Macaca mulatta: one gene and its partner. The protein of the gene in region 1 purifies or fractionates together with the protein of each later gene. This does not show direct contact. Links are inferred from orthologs where the notes say so. Each region holds a gene or a part of one and is shown on either strand. Other genes may lie near its edges. The genes, in order: RAB5A and CHM.

Evidence for each region.
Region 2: the proteins of RAB5A (region 1) and CHM purify together in Homo sapiens (affinity purification with mass spectrometry; 3 studies listed by BioGRID and IntAct, counting the BioPlex papers as one, with this or other methods). This does not show direct contact. The link is inferred for Macaca mulatta from reciprocal best matches to the Homo sapiens genes RAB5A and CHM.

What each region holds. Positions count from the first base shown.
Region 1 is NC_133407.1:28,605,722-28,615,073, forward strand, and holds the start of RAB5A (ras-related protein Rab-5A), read right to left. Parts: upstream 8,865-9,352; 5' UTR 8,470-8,864; intron 5,190-8,469; 5' UTR 5,097-5,189; coding exon 4,934-5,096; intron 1-4,933. UniProt on the Homo sapiens protein: The small GTPases Rab are key regulators of intracellular membrane trafficking, from the formation of transport vesicles to their fusion with membranes.
Region 2 is NC_133426.1:92,462,690-92,472,540, forward strand, and holds the start of CHM (rab proteins geranylgeranyltransferase component A 1), read right to left. Parts: upstream 5,764-9,851; 5' UTR 5,738-5,763; coding exon 5,626-5,737; intron 5,512-5,625; exon of another isoform or gene 5,316-5,511; intron 1-5,315. UniProt on the Homo sapiens protein: Substrate-binding subunit of the Rab geranylgeranyltransferase (GGTase) complex.

The DNA of each region.
Region 1 (9,352 bases):
GAGTGCAATGGCGCGATCTCGGCTCACTGCAACCTCCGCCTCCTGGGTTCAAATGTTTCTCCTGCCTCAGTCTCCTGAGTAACTGGGGTTACAGGCACCCACTGCCACGCCCAGCTAATTTTTGTATTTTTAGTAGAGATGAAGTTTCACCATGTTGACCAGGCTGATCTCAAACTCCTGACCTCGTGATCTCCAGCGTCAGCCTCACCCTCCCAAAGTGCTGGGATTACAGGCATGAGCCACCGCACCCGGTCAACAATGTTTTTAAAATTCCGACAAACACCGCACCTCAAAAAAACCCCACAATTATTCTGTGTATGGGAGAATCAATGTTAGTATCAATGTAAAATCAACTACTCAGAACACATAAAGCAGTGGTTCTCAAATTTAGCATGCCATCAGAATCATCTGGAAAACTTATTAAAACCTAAATTGTTGGTCCCACCCAAATGCTTTGATTCAACACGAGATTCTGCATTTTAACAAGTTCCTAGTTAATGCAGCTGCTTCTGGAAGTGGGAATGCTCTTTGAGGACCACTGTTCTAAGCTAATGTTCAAAAATCACAGAACCAGCAAGAGGAATGTTAATGTTTTCATGTACAGTTCCATTACCTAAACTTTAGAGTCTATAAGACATTTTTGATTAGTGCAAACAAAATTGTAACTGTGGTATGAAGCACTTTTCTCAGAAGAGAAAAAAAGGACTGTCTGCTTGTTATTTCACCGCATATTCTAACTACTGAGGATTAATTTGTTTATAAATATCACATAAATGTCTTCTTAAAAATAAATATTTCTTGAGAAGAGAAACTCACTAGGAATCTTTAAAGTTTTTTCAGGTATTCAAGGTGCTAAACGAAAGCTGGCTAGCCCTCATTCAACAAGTATTTACTGAAGAGCTCCTGAGCCTAGAGATGCAGTACCAAGCAAAGAAGGAAGACAACTCTCTGAGCCTACTGCTCCTTGTTAACTTCTCGGCTAACTTCAGACAAACAATAAAAACATAAATGTCATGCAAACTTTAAACCCCTACAAACAAGCTAGAACTCTCTAAATTGCTAAATCTGCTGCATGCAATTTCATCAAGAGTGCTATAGGGGTAAGATGCATGAAGTATGGTGAGGCAACAAGGATTCTTTTTTTTTTGGTTGAAACAGGGTTCTCACTCTGTCACCTAGGCTGGAGTGTGGGGGTGTAGTCTCGGCTCACTGTAACCTCCGCCTCTTGAGTTCAAGCAATCCTCCCACCTCAGCCTTCTGAGTAGCGGGGACTACAGGTGTGTGCCACCACGCCTGGCCAATTTTCGTATTTTTTGTAAAGATGGGGTTTCGCTATGTTGGCCAGGCTGGTCTCAAATTCCCGGACTCAAGTGATCTGCCCACCTCAGCTTCCCAAAGTGCTGGGATTACAGATGTGAGCCATCATGCCCAGTGCAACAGGAATTTTTAAATCAAGTTATTATATTTAGGAAGAACCACACAAATTACAGAAGAAATCTTGATATTCTTTCTTTGTGGATCCAGAATCCACAAAGAATGTAACATATGATATCCACCTTTGAACACAATCAAATAGAGATGAAAATTTTAAGTGAGTGCTTCAGAACAATAACTCAAGTCAGGAGATATAAACAGTAAAGTGAAAATTAAACAGCTGAGGCCAGGCATGGTAGTTCACGCCTATAATTCCAGCACTTTGGGAGGCCGAGGCAGGTGAATCACTTGAGGTTAGGAGTCTGAGACCCGTTTGGCCAAGATGGCAAAACCCTGTCTCTACTAAAAATACAAAAGTTCGTTGGGAGTGGTGGTGTGGGCCTGTAATCCCAGCTACTCAGGAGGCTGAGGCAGGAGAATCGCTTGAACCTGGGAAGTGGATGTTGCAGTCAGCCTAGATCATACCACTGCACTCCAACCTGGGCCACGTAGTGAAACTCTGTCTCAAAAAGAAAAAAAAAAAACCCAACAGTTGAAATGCAAAAGAGTTGGTTGGCTTCATTTTTCAGGTAACTTCTACTACCTGTCAGTCAAAACAAAAATACGTATTACCTGCAAGTTATAGACCTTTTGAGTTGATCATGAAATAGCTCAAACCTTAAAATTCTTAAATGTTTTACATCTACTCTAGCTCCTAAAGGTGAAAAGCTATGAGTACAGAGCATAAAAGAACAGTGTCCACAGCTATAATCATAATGGTACTGTCATACCTCCTGAATAGTATTCACATGGGGTCAGCACAGTGAAAAAGTATCCAATAAAGATTAACAGAAAGGCCACGGGCAGTGGCTCATGCCTGTAATCTCAGCACTTGGAGAGCCTAAGGCGGGCGGATCACTTGAGGCCAGGAGTTCAAGACCAACCTGGCCGACATGGTGAAACCCCATCTCTACTAAAAATACAAAAATTAGCCAGGAGTGGTGGCTTGCGCCTATAGTCCCAGGTACTTGGCGGGCTGAGGCATGAGAATCGCTCAATCCTGGGAAGCGGAGGTCGCAGTGAGCCAGGGCGGCGCCACTGCACTCTAGCCTGGGCGACAGAGACCCTGTCTCAAAAAAAAAAAAAAAAAGGATTAATAGAAATTTGGATGCAAATTCATTTTTGTTTTTAAATAGGAAGCTCTACAAATAGAAATGAAAATCTTTACGAAAAATTCATTAATGAAATCAAGACAATCTAACTGGTGTTACATGGACATTATATGGAGATACACACGTATCAGAGATATGTTTATGATACACAGGATATGGGTTATATTTTTCTTTTAAACACCCTTCTTGAGCTATCATTAGGAAAAAATAAACTTAGAAGTGGATTACCCAAAACAAGATAAAAATTCTAACCTTAAGCTCTTGCAAAGCTCCCCAGGAATTAAGTTCTATACTACAGTACTTCAGATTTTTTATTATTTTAATAAAATAATAAAGAGAGGAGAAAAGAGTAGCATATAGTAACTCCCAAACGTATTTGGCCCAGGTATTTAACCCAGAATGCATATATACTTTGGGAAATGCTGCCATTAACAGTAAAGTAAGTGGGTGTACATGATCTAGCATTCTTTAACCTTTTCCTACTGGACTAATTAGATTAAATTGTTAGCTTTAGATTAAATTGCTTCTGGAGGAAGCGAAACCTAGAGAAGCAGTATTTCATTATTAAAATGGATATAGTGTATTAACAACAACAACAAAATCACATGTGGATGTACCTTCAAGGAAAAAAAAGATCACAAAGGATGTCTAATATATTGTGTATTAACATTTTTTAAAATGTCAAGACTTCTGACTCAAAAGCTCCATGATGCTTTCTGATGTTCAGCAATTAGAAAAAACATAAAACATTCTAATATAACATTGTAACAAGATATACAAGGGCCAGGAGGCAGTAGAGTTCTGTAACTTATCTTACTAGAATGGGTCTAAGATTATGAATAACATTCTCAAGCATATTTGCTGAAGAACACTCACTAAATGCACAGTATGAAGTTTTGCTTCTGAAAGACAGATTCCAAGAAGTTGCCACATGCCAGCTGGTATCTACCTGTCTTATCTCCACAGTTTGACTTTAATTTTACAGGATGGGGTTAAAACATATATACAAATACCTCAGAAAAGAGCATTGCTTAATTATGTATCACTTGCAAAATATCGTGAATCTCAAACTGTGTCATTCTTCCCACATTTCATCTAATTGAAAAGCATCATTTCACAGATTAAAAGCATCATTTCACAGATTAAACAGCGGCCCAAAAGAGGCTCTCTTGTCCCACAGCTATATAATTATAGGTTTCTTTGATTAAAGTCAATTTTTTTTTGTTGTTTTTTTTTAAAGAGATGGGTTCTCATTGTGTTGCCCAGGCTAGACTTGAACTCCTAGGCTAAAATAATCCTGCCTCAGCCTCCAAATACCTGGGACTACAGGAATGCAGCACCACGCCCAGCTAAAATTCAATTTTCCCACTTCATGTCCTCTCTTGACAATACCGTACTGTTCGCTGTCTCCTTTTCACCCTGCATCTTACCTTCCCCTCATCTCTGTCGCACCATGACCACCTTGTCAGTGCCTATTTTTCCCTTCTCATTTCATCTTTTTCTTCAGGTTCCATTTTCCTGTCATGTCCCTTTCCATTAATCACTTTTTCTCTTCCCTCAGCTTAGGAGCATTCTTACATGTACATCTTAGCAGGGAGCACCTATAATCACAGCTACCTGGGAGGTTGAGAATGGAGGCTTACTTGAGGCCAGGAGTTCAAGACCAACCTGGAAACACAGCAAGACTGAGACTCTTAAAAAAAAAAAAACAAACTTGCCTGGCATGGTGGCAAGCACCCTTAGGCCCAACTACTTAGTGGGAGGCTAAGGCAGGATGATCATTTGAGCTGAGAGTTCCAGGCTGCAGTCTGCAGTGAGTTATGATCCGGACACTGCACTCCAGCCTAGGCAAGATTCCATCTCTTAAATAACAACAAAAAAAGTACATCTAGCAGTATTTAATTATATTTAATTAATTTTACAAATAAGTATAATGATTTACAAATAGTTCAGTTATATAGATCAGAATTTAAGGTTACTTTTTTTTACTATTCATTTTAAACCAATATAATTGAGCACAAACATGTACTGTATTAATTTGAAGAAGCTTCTACTTGTTAGCTAGAAATAGGTATCAGGTCAAGTCATATTACTTGAGACACTGATTCTACTCATGTTTTTATCTGTATTTTAGCGACAATATAACCACAAGGGATTAACCAAACAATCAAATGTAAAAACACATCATTTTCACAAAAATAAAGGCAAGTTTTAAAGCTTAAGGTAAGCTGAACAGCTCTTTTCTTCACTCTATGACTTAGCTATTCATAATCACACAATTGGAACATCAAAATACTTTGTCAACGTATGATTCGATTAAATGAAGCAGGGAAAAAAGAAAATCTCACCCCCAATGGTACTCTCTTGAAATTCATGAAATTGGCCTTTCACAAAACGAAGCACTAGGCTTGATTTGCCAACAGCAGACTCTCCCAGAAGTACTAGTTTGAACTGGCATATTTTATTTCCAGTATTTGGCCCGTTGGGTCTTGTTGCGCCTCGATTAGCCATGTCCAAATTTGAAATAAGTCCTTAATTTCAGATTCTTCAATGAACTTCCAGAATTCAAGGGGTCAATATTCTTCTTTCTGGAGGTAAAGAAACCTGTAAAGAAACAATTATGAATTAAATATACAAATCAGTAAAGCAAATTTACTATTAATCACTTTAAAATTTGCCTATAGCACGATTATCTTAAGCTCTACTAGACCTTCAATGTCACTATCTTTTAAAGGAAATTTAAAAGTATAGGATTTGAGCCCAAAATCATTTTTTCTTTTTTTTTTTTTTTTAAAGGCTAACCTCAAAGCTTCAACTTTGTGCCAGGCAGTACTTTAAGTACTTAACTTCTCAACAATCCTATAAAATGAGATATTATTACAATCCTTATAAATGAGGAAACAAGCACAGAGATGTTAAGAAGCTTAATTGAGGTCACATAGTTACTGTCACAGAAGTGACACACAGCTGAGTTTCAAACCCAGGCAACCTGAGAGATGACTTGAGTTCAAGTTTTGTAGCCAGGCTACTTGGGTTAACATTGTTTTGAGAAAAATTATGTTATTAATATATGGGAAGCTTTTAGAACAGATCCTAGAGTTTAGTATTATTTGAAGTCTTCTGTTAAACGACACATTTTTCATTTAATTAACGGTAATTTTGGACAACAAATATTTTCAGTATCCCAGGTTTGTGTGCCTAATGGCAGACAGACTTAAAACTGTTTCTTCATCTGCTCAAGTATACCATACACAGAAATGCTAACAGTTTTTCTCTATGTGGTGGGATTATTACTGACTTATTTACTTACACTAATTGCAACTTTTTTGTAGTTTTTAGACGAAAAATATGCATGACTTTTTTTTTTTATTAATTTTTTTGAGAAAGGGTTTTGCTCTCTCACCCAGGCTGGAGTGCAGTGGCATGGTCATAGCTCACTGTAACCTACACCTCCTGGGCTCAAGCAATCCTGCCACAACCTCCTGAGTAGCTGGGGACTACAGGCGCTCAGAACCATGCCAGGCCACTTTTTTGGTAGAGACACTGTCCTGCTATGTTGCCCAGCATGATCTTGAATTCCCGGGCTCAAGCAATCCTCCTGCCTCAGCCTCGCAAAGGGCTGGGATTACAGGTGTGAGCCACCACACCCAGCCTGCAGGCCATTATTTTTTATTTAAACAACACATTAAAAAAATCTAGCCTGAATGGCAACTTCTGTGCTAATTTTTAATCTCTAAGGAATTAGTGAATATTTGAAGAACCTTTTTCAATCCACTCACAAACCAATCTTAACAGTTTCCTTCTATCTTTAATCAAAATCCGAATATATGCTAATATATTAAACCTGATGATTCCCTCTCTAAAAACCCTGCTATATTTCACTTAGCTACCTCATGTAAGAAATATGTCTTTCACACTGGACACAGTGGCTTATACTGGTAAATTCCAACACTTGGCGGTTGAGGAAGAAGGACTGCTTGAGACCAGCCTGGGCAACAGTGAGACCCTGTCTCTATATTAAAAACAAAAGAAAGAAATACGCCTTTCCCATAAAATCAGTTTATAATATGCTCTTGATACTGAATTCCCTAACATGTCCACGAGATCTTAGTTCTTAAGGCAATAAAACTACCTCCCTGCCTTAACTAAACACCAGCTTTCTAGAGTCCTTATCTTTTACCATTACATTCTGAAATATGTACAGATTAATTGAGGTAATATCTGAGTTGCTTCTAAATAACGACGTATAAATAAAAATCCCCCTCCCCACAAACATACCAGACTTGGGGGTCTAATCCTGGCTATACCAATTTCCGCCTGGGCAAATTCTTTAATTTCCAAGTCTCTATTCCCATAATATCTAACTTGCATAGCTGCTGTGACAATTAAATGAAACAATACATGTAAACAATCTCTAATAAACATAGTAGGGATTGAAATTGTCAATAACGTGGTCCTTTGATAAGAAAATATCTAGAGAACATCATATGTACTGAAAATGCACCAATACATCTTCAGATATTACACAAGCAGTATCAATTAAAACATTTTCCATTTGTCTTTTTATCTACAAAAACACGAAATTACTTATCAAGGACAACATGCTCCAAATTTCTACGGTACTTTCAAAATTTCAGGCAAAACATCAGATTCCCATAAAAAAAAAATCAAACAAGATTCTGATTTCACTTTGACTTTTAAGGTTTAAAGTTACTTAACTGTGGCTACTCCCCTTGAGGATCTCAAACAGGAAATAACTAGAGTTAATAGTAAATACACACTTAGCATAACACGAAGGTTAAAAATTACGTGTATTCATTTGTATTCACTGCTTACTGACACTTGTTTTGCAAAACAAGAATTTTGCATAATATACATTTGTAATCTTTTGAAAATAACTGTTATTCATTCTATAGTTAAAATCCTTCTAAGTGTTCTTTGATCAAAAAATTGGGCACTTATTTTGTGCCAGGCACTGTTTCATGTACTTTGCTTACACAAATGCTGAGTTATCATTTCCATTTTACTTTAGGAATAAAGTTTATGAGCAGTCTTGAGTATTCCCAGAGATGTGCAAGTGTTTTTTTCTTATTATGTAAAAGGCAACTGATTGAACGCTTTGATTCCACTTAAGCAAGACAAAAACCAAGTATGTGAACTATGACGTTCAGAACTTAAAAGTTTGAAAGTCTCAGAGGTAAACAGCTTCCAGGAAAGATAACATCAGAACAAGTTTCATGGTCTCTACCCATTGAAGGAATTCAGCGGTCCTGTTATCTCGAATTTATTTAACGCTGTAGTTCACTACCTTCCATACATAAGACAAGAGTCTCTAGACGGCCCATTTTGACGAGTCTCCCACCCACCGACACTACACGTCTTTGGAAGTTGCAGGTAGGCGGAGCTCCCCACATTCACACCTGCAGTAGGCCCGGGTTCCTGCTTGGAGAGCACCTGAGTAGCTTATAGCCAACTCCAGATCGCCTGGATAAGCACCACTCGCCAGGTCCCTTGGCCTTTCCAACCTCCTCCCCCGAACCTGGCTGGCTTTGACCGAGACCCCCAGGACTGCCAGCACAGGGACCAGGCGGAACCGCGGCCTCCAGTACACTTTCCACGGCGCCATCTTGAGAAGGGAAAGGGTGACACCCGTCGCTCCCTCAGTCAGTCCCCAAATCCCGGTCTCCAGAGCCCCTTGAGGATGAGTCACCAGGGCTGGCAGAACAAGACGCCGGGTTCGATAGTTCTCTGGTCCAGGCTACTGCTGCGCATGAGGGAGAAGGGGCGGGGGTCTTAGTACCCGCAGGGCCGCGGACAGGCTGGGGATCGCGGATAACCTGGGGTCCAGACCCCCACTGCGCAGGGGGAGAGGCGGTTCGGTTACCTGAGACCGCAGCAAGCCGGGCTGCGGGGCCGAAGCTTCCTGGCACCAAGGCCCAGGCGTGGCCCGTAGGATGAGTGTGTGTCTATGGCGGTGGTGGTGGCGGCGGCGGCGCCGTCTGCTCTTCGCGTCGCTCCCCTCACACTGGACTGTGCGGGGCTCTTGCCGTGGTGCCGCCCCTGTCGGGCTCCGTCTCCGCCTCTCGCCGCTCCGCCTTCCTCTTTCCTTTCCCCTCCTCCGCCGCAGCCGCCGGCGCTGGAGTTCCGACGAAGTCTTCCTCCTCCTCCTCCCTCTGCCTCCTCCCCTAAGGCCAGCCGCCGGCGCCTTCACGAACCAAAACACAAACACTCAAGTCCCACCGCCGGAGCCACTTCCGCTGTCCGGTGTCGGCCCCGCCGCCACGTCGCCGCACGCAGCGAACTACGCCCTTTCGTCACTTCCCGTCATCGCCAGTGCCCCCGCTCCATCCGCTTCCCCGCCCCTTCCCGAATCCCTCCCCGCCCAGGTCTGTTCGCGGGGCGGGGCGAGGCAAGATGTCACGTGACCCTGCGAGTGGCTCTGACCGGAGCTGGCCGCCTTTCTTCCCTTCCCCCACCCCAGGTACGCGCGGCCACGCCCTCTCCAGCGCCATTGTTATTTGGGCTGGGGGGTCTCTGGGCTCCCGGCGGCCGGGTTCGGGGGAAATTCTTTTACTATGCTTTGGGGGAAGACCAAAATATCTTATTTTTTTGTTTGTTTTTTGTGCCCAGCCCTTGTGGGAGCGGCAAGGTTCCCTCACCCCAATCCTGGCACCTCGTCGAAGGGGCTTTATTAGAGAGAACTTGTCTAGCACTAGAGAACCTCCCCCCAAAAAATGTCCCTGGGGTTGGGTGGGTCGGTAAAGGCT
Region 2 (9,851 bases), on another chromosome or scaffold:
TCCACTGTAGACAATAGATGTGAAGATTTTGGAAATACACAGGGAGGATTATGGACATCCTGTGATTTGAGAACCACATCCAGGCATCCTGGGAGAAGATTAGGTTAGATATATAGGAAATCACTTGTGTTGAGGCTGGCACAAACAGATATTTGGTAAATATCAGTTTTCACAACACCTCCTACAATATTACTATCCTCCAAAGCTTAGAGAAGTGATGCTATTCCAACATCATCATAAGTCAATGAGCTGCCAGTCAAGGTTAACTACCTTAATGTTTAAATTCACCAACATCAAGGAATGGGACTGTGCTACTTACATGACCTTTTCTGAAAAAAGCAGCCTATCATTTTTAAGAAAATGCCATTTCTAATCAGTTATTGTATTTTATTAGGCCGTTCCTATGTTGCCATAAAGGAATGTCTGAAACTGGGTAATTTATAAAGAAAAGAGATTTAATTGGCTCAGGGTTCTGCAGGCTGTACAAGCATGGTACTGGCATCTGCTCGGCTTCTGGGGAGGCCTGAGGGAGCTTTTAGTCATAGCAGAAGACAAAGGGGAAGCAGACATCTCCCTTGGTGACAGGCAAGACAAGCGAGAGTGTGGGGAGATGCCACACACTTTTAAACAACCAGTCGACCAGGCACAGTGGCTCCCATATGTAATCCCAGCAATTTGGGCCACCAAGGCAGGTAAATTGTTTGAGTTCAGAAGTGCAAAACCAGCCTGGGCAACATAGGGAGACCCCATCTCTACAAAAATAAAAAAAAAAAATTAGCCAGGCATGGTGGTGCATGTCTGTGATCTCAGCTACTTGGGAGTCTGAGGTGGGAGGATTGCTTGGGCCCAGGAGGTTAAGGCTGCAGTGGGCCATGATTGTGCCACTGCACTCCACCAGGGTGACAGAGCAAGACCCTGTCTCAAAAAAAAAAAAAAAAAAAAAAAAATTTAAATAAACCACCAGATCCTGCAAGAATGAACTCACTATTACAAGAACAGCACCAAGCCATAAGGGATCTGCTCCCATGACCCAAACACCTCCCACCAGGCCCCACCTCCAACAATAAGGATAACATTTCAACATGAGATTTGGGCAGGACAAATATCCAAACCATATAAGCCATTTTTATAGGAAAATTTCTGAAGTATATTAAACACTGACCTTCCTTCTTAAAAAGACTACACAGAACACAATTTAGCCTTTTCTCAAGGACATGGTGTTATAAATAGAAATATACAATGGTAATTTTAGAGCTGGTAGATCCCTACCTTGAAGATCAACTATTGAAATCTCACTTTACAGATGAACTAAATGATGTCGCAAGAAATTCTGTAATTTTCCCAAAAATCACACAATAGAATGGTCATGTGATTACCATATACCATGCTGCCACATCTACTACTGTATGGTGCTAAACACTATCTAGCAAGATAATCAGGATTTAGGGGCAGTAGTCCTTATAATTTCCCTCGTGTTTATCTTTGTTATCCCTTCTCTTTCCCCATAATCTTTAGCAATAAAACTTTTTTTTTTTTTTTGAGACAGGGGCTTGCTCTGTCGCCCAAGCTAAAGTGCAGTGACACAACTATAGCTCACTGAAGCCTCAAACTCCCAGGTTCAGGCAATCCTCCCACCTCAGCCTTCCAAGTAGCTGGGACTACAGGCATGTGTCACCATACCCAGTTAATTTTTGTATTTTTTTGCAGAGATACAGTTTTGCTGTGTTGCCCATTTCAGCTACTTGGGAGGCTGAGGTCTCTAACTCCTGAGCAAGCAATCCACCTACCTCGGCTTCCCCAAGTGCTGGGATTACAGTTGTGAGCCACTGCACCTGGCCAATGAACCTTTATTTTTATTTATTTTTTTTTTTTTTGAGACAGTCTCACTCTGTTTCCCCGACTAGAGTGCAGTGGCACCATTGAAGCTCACTGCAACCTCCGCCTTCCAGGATCAAGGGATGCCTGCGCCTTAGCCTATGGAGTAAGGGGGACTATACGCCCACGCCACCATGCTTGGCTAACAATAAAACTTTTAAATCAAAAGAATCTATGTGTTTATCCTATTCAGGAGAAAAATTAAGCTAACATACTCTGCAGCCCATCTTAGGGGAAGAACTCCAAAAGATGTGAGCAGTGTGCTTTTAAAAAGGGAAAAAAAATGCAGGCTGAATCTCTGTATGGTCTTCAAAAAGAAAGAAGGATGCAATGAAAAGCCTACATTGTCTTAAGAACAGCTTTGGGGATATGACTGTTAGGAAGCCCAAAAAGTTCCTCAGAATAGGCAATGCAGTAAACTTCACAAGGGAAGGGACTAGGTTCTCAATAAACGTGGGTTGAATGACCTGAAAAATGAATATCTGTCACTACACTAAATGTTATCGGGGCTTTGTGATGTTTGATGTTAAGTTTGCATTTTATGTGTTTTTCTCTTCCCTTTCCTATACAGATATAAACTGTCATTTATATGCCTAAGAGCACCCCCCACCAAACATAGTCTTTTCAGAAGTTGATAACATTTCTTGTATCTTCTAAGGGGGTGGTTCTAATATGCTGAACTTGCTAGAATTATTTTTAAAATGAGGATGAATATGTTCTAAGTGATGATCTCAGGGATTCCCCTATGTATGAAGCATTTCAATACTATCATATAGGTCTTATAACGTCCATCTTGACTGCTCTTCTGTTGAGCTCTTGGCTCTGCTGTGCTGCAGATTACACAGGCTGCCAGATAAGTCACCTCCAGTGAGATGTTATGTTACTGGGACTATTTTTAACCTGAAACCAATGGTACTTGTCTATAATCCACAAAACTGTCATTTAAATGACTTTTTAAATGGCAAAATATCCTGAAAAATGACAATTCTGTGCCCAAGCTATGGAGGAGCACTTTCTAGACCCTTACCACATATATCTATTTTTATCCTCTCCCTTGAGACTCCAGTTGACCCTCCTTCTTTATTCCATTTTCTTCTATTTTTTCCACAATTCACTTTATCTTACTCTTCTGTCTTTGGGTGTTCAAGAGATATTTACTGTATTTTCTAATCAGAAGGAAATGGGCTTAACTAAGAAAATACAAAGTTTATTTTTCCCATAATCTCCTGAAAATATGATCTTAAGGAAAAATTTCCATCTTGAATTACAGAAAATGAGAATGCAAGTTAATCAAGGTCAAAGGGATTATAAAATATTATCTTCACATGATTATACTTGATGAAGCAATTGTCCCTTTAGGACATTTTACCTAGGACTAAATATGCTAAAAAGTATATCTAATAGCCTATTTCTTCATGTTTCTGATGCATGCATTATTGCTTCTACTTTTGTTAATACAACTGAATCTATGAAACACTGCTTTTTCTATGTTTTACTCAATGTAATACATTTAATAAAGCAAACATTTTAAAGGCAACTTTCAGCAAACTATTTCACAAGAGAAATATTCCAAGCGCGCTAAAAAATAAATAATGATTGGAATTGTTGGAATCATTTATTTGGGAAATGGCTCTTTTATTTAATTTTTACACTTTTGATTTGTTGGAATCGTTTATTTGGGGAATGACTCTTTTATTCAATTTTTACACTTTTGATGTACCTAAAAACAAAATTACATATCATAAATTTAAGCAATGTGCTTGATAAAACCTAGAATGTGTCACCAATAAACAATATGAAAAATTTCAGTTTTAAGATTAACTTCAAATAAGTTCTTCCCAAACACTGAAAAATAATATTGCACTCACTGGGATAAATATAATATGAGTCTTTTTCCAAATATAAGCAATGTCACCTGATGCAATTCTCTGGCTCACTCACTATAACTTCCTACCTCCACCAAAACAAACTCCATCAGGATGGATGTATTCCATATCTGAACTGTACAGAAGGCAAAATATTTATGAAAAGCATTAGCATCATTCATAAGAATTAACATTCATCAATTAAAATTTGAACCCAGACCTGAAAGAAAAATTGTTGATTAAAAAAATTGTTAAAAACACCTCAAGTTCCTACATAACAAAAAAAGCAAGATTATAAATCTCAAGTATGGTAATAACAACTATTCCAAAATGGATGTTGTTCTCAGTTTTAGTATAGACTGGAAAGAACAAATGAATAGTTCATTGGCTCTTTCCAGCTCTCATCCAACATCTGTTCATAGCAACTACAACCAGGTTATTTGTAGCCATGCTGTTATTTTCAGGCTACGAATAAACAGGTCCGTGCTGTTCTGAGAACTATTACCCAGGCATTTTTTGTTAGACAACATAAACCCCATCTAGTTTACCTTCCCTATATCAAAAACAAGGAAACTGAGGCTCAGAGAGATGTAGTGCCTGCGCCCCCCCCCCCCCCGCCCCAATTCAAGCAATTCACACTAGCACTAAGCAAGGCCTAAAACCAGGTTTTCGGTTTTCTCAATTGTTTCTACGAATATGGGTCAACTCTGAGGATCAGAACCACGGATTGTTTTTCTGGGATGGAAGGGGCCTTTGGAAATTTACAAGCTGTGTGATCCTGAGCAAATTACAACCTTTCCAAGTCCCCTTTTCCTCTTCTACAAAATGCAGAGAGTACCTACTACTCTAACAAGGTTGTGAGGATTATGTCCGGCTTGTAAAGTGCTTAGCACAGTGATTAGGAAATTTTAAGCATTCGAAAACAGGTAGCTATTATTTTTACTCCCATCCTGAAAACATGGCTGCTCCTCATCACGGCTGTTTGAGAAGACAACGAACTGAATTCATTAACACAATGGACAGGGTCCCATCCACCAGAGCTTCTCTGGCCTACCACATTCTACAAACAGTAGAAAACCCCATCAAACAACCTATTTCATCCCACCTAAAATGATCATCCCTTACACTATTTTTCTAAAAAAATGAATTTGCTGCCACATGTCTTCTGCTACGTGTTGTACACTGCATATGTCAAACAGAAATTGCAGAGGAGTTTCTGGTTCCACCCAAAACATGAAGAACAAACGACGGGAAAAGAATTAGATAAGGTCACACACCTGAACTGGAACTCAGGACCTTATTCTCAGCACATTCAGTTATGGGCGGTAGAAATGCTTTAAGCACCATAAAGCAGGAATAATGGCTACCTCAACAAAATACAATTCCCTAGGTTTCTCAACAAAATAGAATCCGTTTGCTTTCCCTAGTAAATCCATACGCACATGGGCAATAACTGATCATCTTTCTTGTAAAACTGAGGATTAAGCTGTGCCTGAGCTGCGATGTACCCTAGGATCATACAAATCTATGAAAAAGTCCTATGAAATGGCGAGACAAAATGATGGGGAATATCACCTTGAAATCAATAAGGAAGGAATCATAATGTCTTGCCAAAGTCGTCTCCGTTGATAAAATCCCGACCCTCCATTTCATGACACTGCACATCCACTTCCCTCTAAGGAAATTAACAGGAATCACCGCAGCAACCAACCTCAGCAATCAGCATCGACCAGATCAACCCCTACTCAAATGGCGATAAGCACTGCGGGTCCAAGCCCCTCCCTGTAACTGCCAATTCCCGCGCTGACTCCGGACTACCTCACTTCCTTTCCGTTCTCCCTCCCACCCTCGACCCACGATGTTTGTCCCAAAACTCGCCACTCACAGAAAAAATAGAAACAAGACAGTCTTCCTAAACTTTGTCCAGGAAGTACCAGGTTACACATACCAGTCCCTATTACGATCACATCAAACTCCGAAGGGAGAGTATCCGCCATCTTGACGGGAAACGCGTCATGTGACTATTACTTGTGGAAATGAGATCAAGTTAGGCATTCCCTCAGTGGAAGGCGGAAAGGAAAACAATGCATTCTGGGTGGTGTAGTTCTTGGGTGGAAGGTCCTGGCAGGCGACTACAGTATTATATTTAAAATGTTTACACGTAAATTAAAAGCTCGACTGATTTTCCAGGCTGAGTGCTGTAGCTCATTTAGCCTGGAGGGTTGAAGTAGGAAAGAAATGTAGATTGTTATTCCGTTAGCTAGGATGAATGTGGGAGACTTGGATACCCCTTGACAATACTGAAGCAAGAATTGTTAGGAGACACGGAGAGCGGAGTGAAATTGAAAGCGGTTTGCTCTGTGAACAAAGGAGATTTTCATCCAGCCTAAAAAACTGTTTCCCGCCGTCGTGTCTGTACTTTCGTGTTGGCCCTCGAGGCACGGTTTTTCACACCAATACTTTCAAAATATATTCCATATCTTTTTCGTTTCCATGTCTCCTCAATGAAAACCCACGAAAAACCTCTCACCCTAGTTTCTTCAGAATGGAACTCTCACCGCGTCCGCATTTGTTCTAATTAGTCCAGACAGCCACTCGGGCAATAGATTAGCCTTGTTTTATAAGAGGGAAAAAATATATGAAACCATAGTTGTACTGGATAAGCGTTTGTTGAGTCTGAATTTGATTTTCCGCACGAACTAGATAAGTTCATGCAAGATTCTCCTTAGTTTACATTTAGTTTCCAATCTATTCGTTTCCATAAGCTACCGTAGAAATAATTAAGGTTAAATGGCCTTTATATTAAAGTGATTGTATTTGACGAGGGACTTTAGGTCGTCTATGTCTAACAGCTAACAGAGTTCTCATAAGTATCTTCAAGGTCTGTCACCTCCCACCGCTTCCCTTCATCCGCCCCCTACCCCGACCCCTATCATTTAAAATACTCCGCTGTCTGACAACACCAAAGCAAAAGGGGAAGGATGCTGGGAATGAAGCAGGATACTTTTTTGATCACAGAAATTTCTTGTGTAGTTATTTTACAAGAGTTTCAAAATAAATCGAAGATAGTGTGCAGGAGTGGGCCTTCCCCGATACCACCTATCCTCTAAAATGCTTGTGGTTCCCCAGACATTGTTTTCTTTCCAGTATCTGTGACCACACTCATGCTCAGCGTGGAATGATCTTCCCATTCTCTAGCTAACAGTTATTCCCAGGATGTCGTTGGGCTTCCACCTCCTCCTCCTTTCATCTCCGTGTGTGGGCTGTTTTCCTACACGGTGCTAGACTTTGTCTTAACCTGCCGTACTGCTTCGACAGTTTGCATTTATGTCGATTCCTATAGAGTACACATATCCCCACATATTCACACAAAAATACACACGCAGACATGCAATACCATAATTAGAAACCCCTGTACAGTATGACAGACACCAAGTCTCGTTTATCTTTTTCACTCTCGCACCTAACCTAAGCCCGGTGCACAGTAGGAATTTAATAAATGTTTGCTAAACCAAACTTGATTTTGACTCCCTTAATGGATGGATGAGATGAGTCCCTGTCCTCATAGTGCTTACCATCTTCGCCTTTATATCTGCCCACCACTATCATGTGCCTTATATTTAGAAGATGTTCAGTGTTCATTAATTGTAAATATTTCCATGAAAATGCTTTAAAATATATTTTGATGGGTTTTTACTGCATTTCTCTTGCATTTTACCATAATCATTAGCAACACTGTACATGTTTCATTAATTTCTTTTATAGATCATCCAGTTGTATTACACAATTCTCTTATGATATGGTCTTTGATTAGTATTTCCTGTAAAAGAGATTCCCCTGAGAAGTATAATGCACTGTTCAGTAAATCACTCTGTCATTTGGCTTGGTATGTAAAGAAAGTTTTTAGTATTATCAGAAGTGAAATAGATATTATTTGTGAGGCTCTTGATATGACAGTAGAAAATGGAAACAAATGAATTTCTCAGAGTAAACACAGGAAACTTTCCAAAATCTTCTCTAATAGAAGCCACAGATGGATGGTTAAAAATCTGATAAATAAAAGTATTTCTACCATACTTTGGATATATATTTCTATACATTTGTTCATGTATATGAGATATATAAACCACATACATATACTTTTCAATATGAGTATCTCTTTCTAGGAATTCAGAAATTTTCTGACAATCACACCATGAAGATGCAATTCATTAATTTGTTTATTCCTCAAATATTCATTGAACACCTACTATGTGCAAGACACTATTTTGGATGCTGAGATTAGAGCAATGAACAAAATAGACAAGGACCCCTGTCTTCATGAAGTTTACATTTAGTAGGGTAAAACAAAATAAACAAGTAATTACTCTGTAGCATAGATTTTCCAATCTGTGCTGCCCTGAATTTGAAACTTTCTTTTTTCCCCTAAGGATAGAAAGCATGATCCTCAGAAGGATAATATTAACAACTTCTATTTTGCTGTCCTTTCTCTAAAATCATTACGGGACTCATTCATGCCCTTTTCTGGGCATAGAAAATATTATTACATTAGGAAAATTTCAATCTTGTGCATGGAGAAAATGCTCCAAATACCTTTTCTTTCGAATGTATTTTTGTAGACTTTATGCAAAGTAAAGATGAATATAGGAGTCAATAATTACAGTAAAAAAGCATAAAGCAAAACAGCTGAATTGCATCTATTCTGTTACTCTAAGGATATCTATTATTGAGAGCTTAAGTATTTTATTGGGATAAGTCACAGTACAATGAGATAACAGATACCTAAAAATTGACCACTCTATTAAAATCACTGTGGCACTAATTTTGTACTTAATTATTTCCTGAATTGAAAAAGCATGATTCCTTGAACACTTACCTGGTATTCAGACATTTACTCAACTATGAAATCTGGCTGTTATCGTTATACAAATCATAATTTAATGGTCTCTATCACTGGGACCTTTCCTTTGTGTTCCAGACCCACATATCCAATCTCTTACTGAACATCTCTTCCAAACATGTCCAATGCTGAACTACTGAACATTTGAATCCCGCTCCCAAATCTTCTCTTCATCCAGCATTCCCTGTCTTAGAAATAGTACCACCTTCTACTCTGCTATTCAAGTCAAAAACCCAAGAATCATCCTTGACACATCACTGTCTTTCACCCTTAAACCAATTCATCAGCAACACTTGCCATATTTACCTCAAAAATATATTGTAACTATATCAATTAATCTCAATATGGAATGCCCACATAATCTCTTCCCTAGACTACTACAATTGGTTATAGTTGGACCCCTCATTAATGCTTGCTTCTCTCTAGTCCATTCTCCCCACTGAAGGCAGAGTAAATATTTTAAAACTCAAATCTGATTATTCCTTTACCTACAACACTTCATGACTTCTCATTGTTTTTAAAATACACTCCAAAAATATAAACATAGCCTAAAAGGCCCTGCCTAACTCTTCAGTCTCGTCTCATACCTCTTAACCTTCTCTCTCTAGGCTCCAGCCATATTAGCTCTCCTTCATTTCCTCGAGTGCTCATGCTTCTCCCCACTTCAGGGCCTTCACTGATACCCTTCCATGTGCCTGAATTGCACCTTTATCCTTCTGCCCCTCTTTATTGTAGCTTCTCATCCTTTACAGTTAATTTGAAACGTCACATAATCTGGCAAGTCTTTCTTGAGTCATCAGTCTAGCTTAGGTCCCCTATCACCCTATATTCCCTCTTTGTTGAACTTATGATTGGAAATATCCGATTACTTATGGAATTACTTGTTTCATCTTGTTAGAAGGTAAGATCTGCAAAGGCAAGGACTATGCCCATATTGGTCATCATTATATTCCCAGAACCTAGTCCAATACCTGGTACAAATGGTCACTCAAAAATGTCTGCTGAGAGTTTCTCTTGGCATTCATTTCTGTTTTTATTCCACTGTGGTCCAAGAATATGCTTGGTATGATTTCCACTTTTTTAAAATGTATTGAGACTTGCCTTATAGCACAGCATGTGGTCATTCTTAGAGTATGTAGCATGTGCAGATGAGAAGGACATATATTCTGTGGTTGTTCAGTGGATTATTCTATAGGTGTTTATTGGGTCGA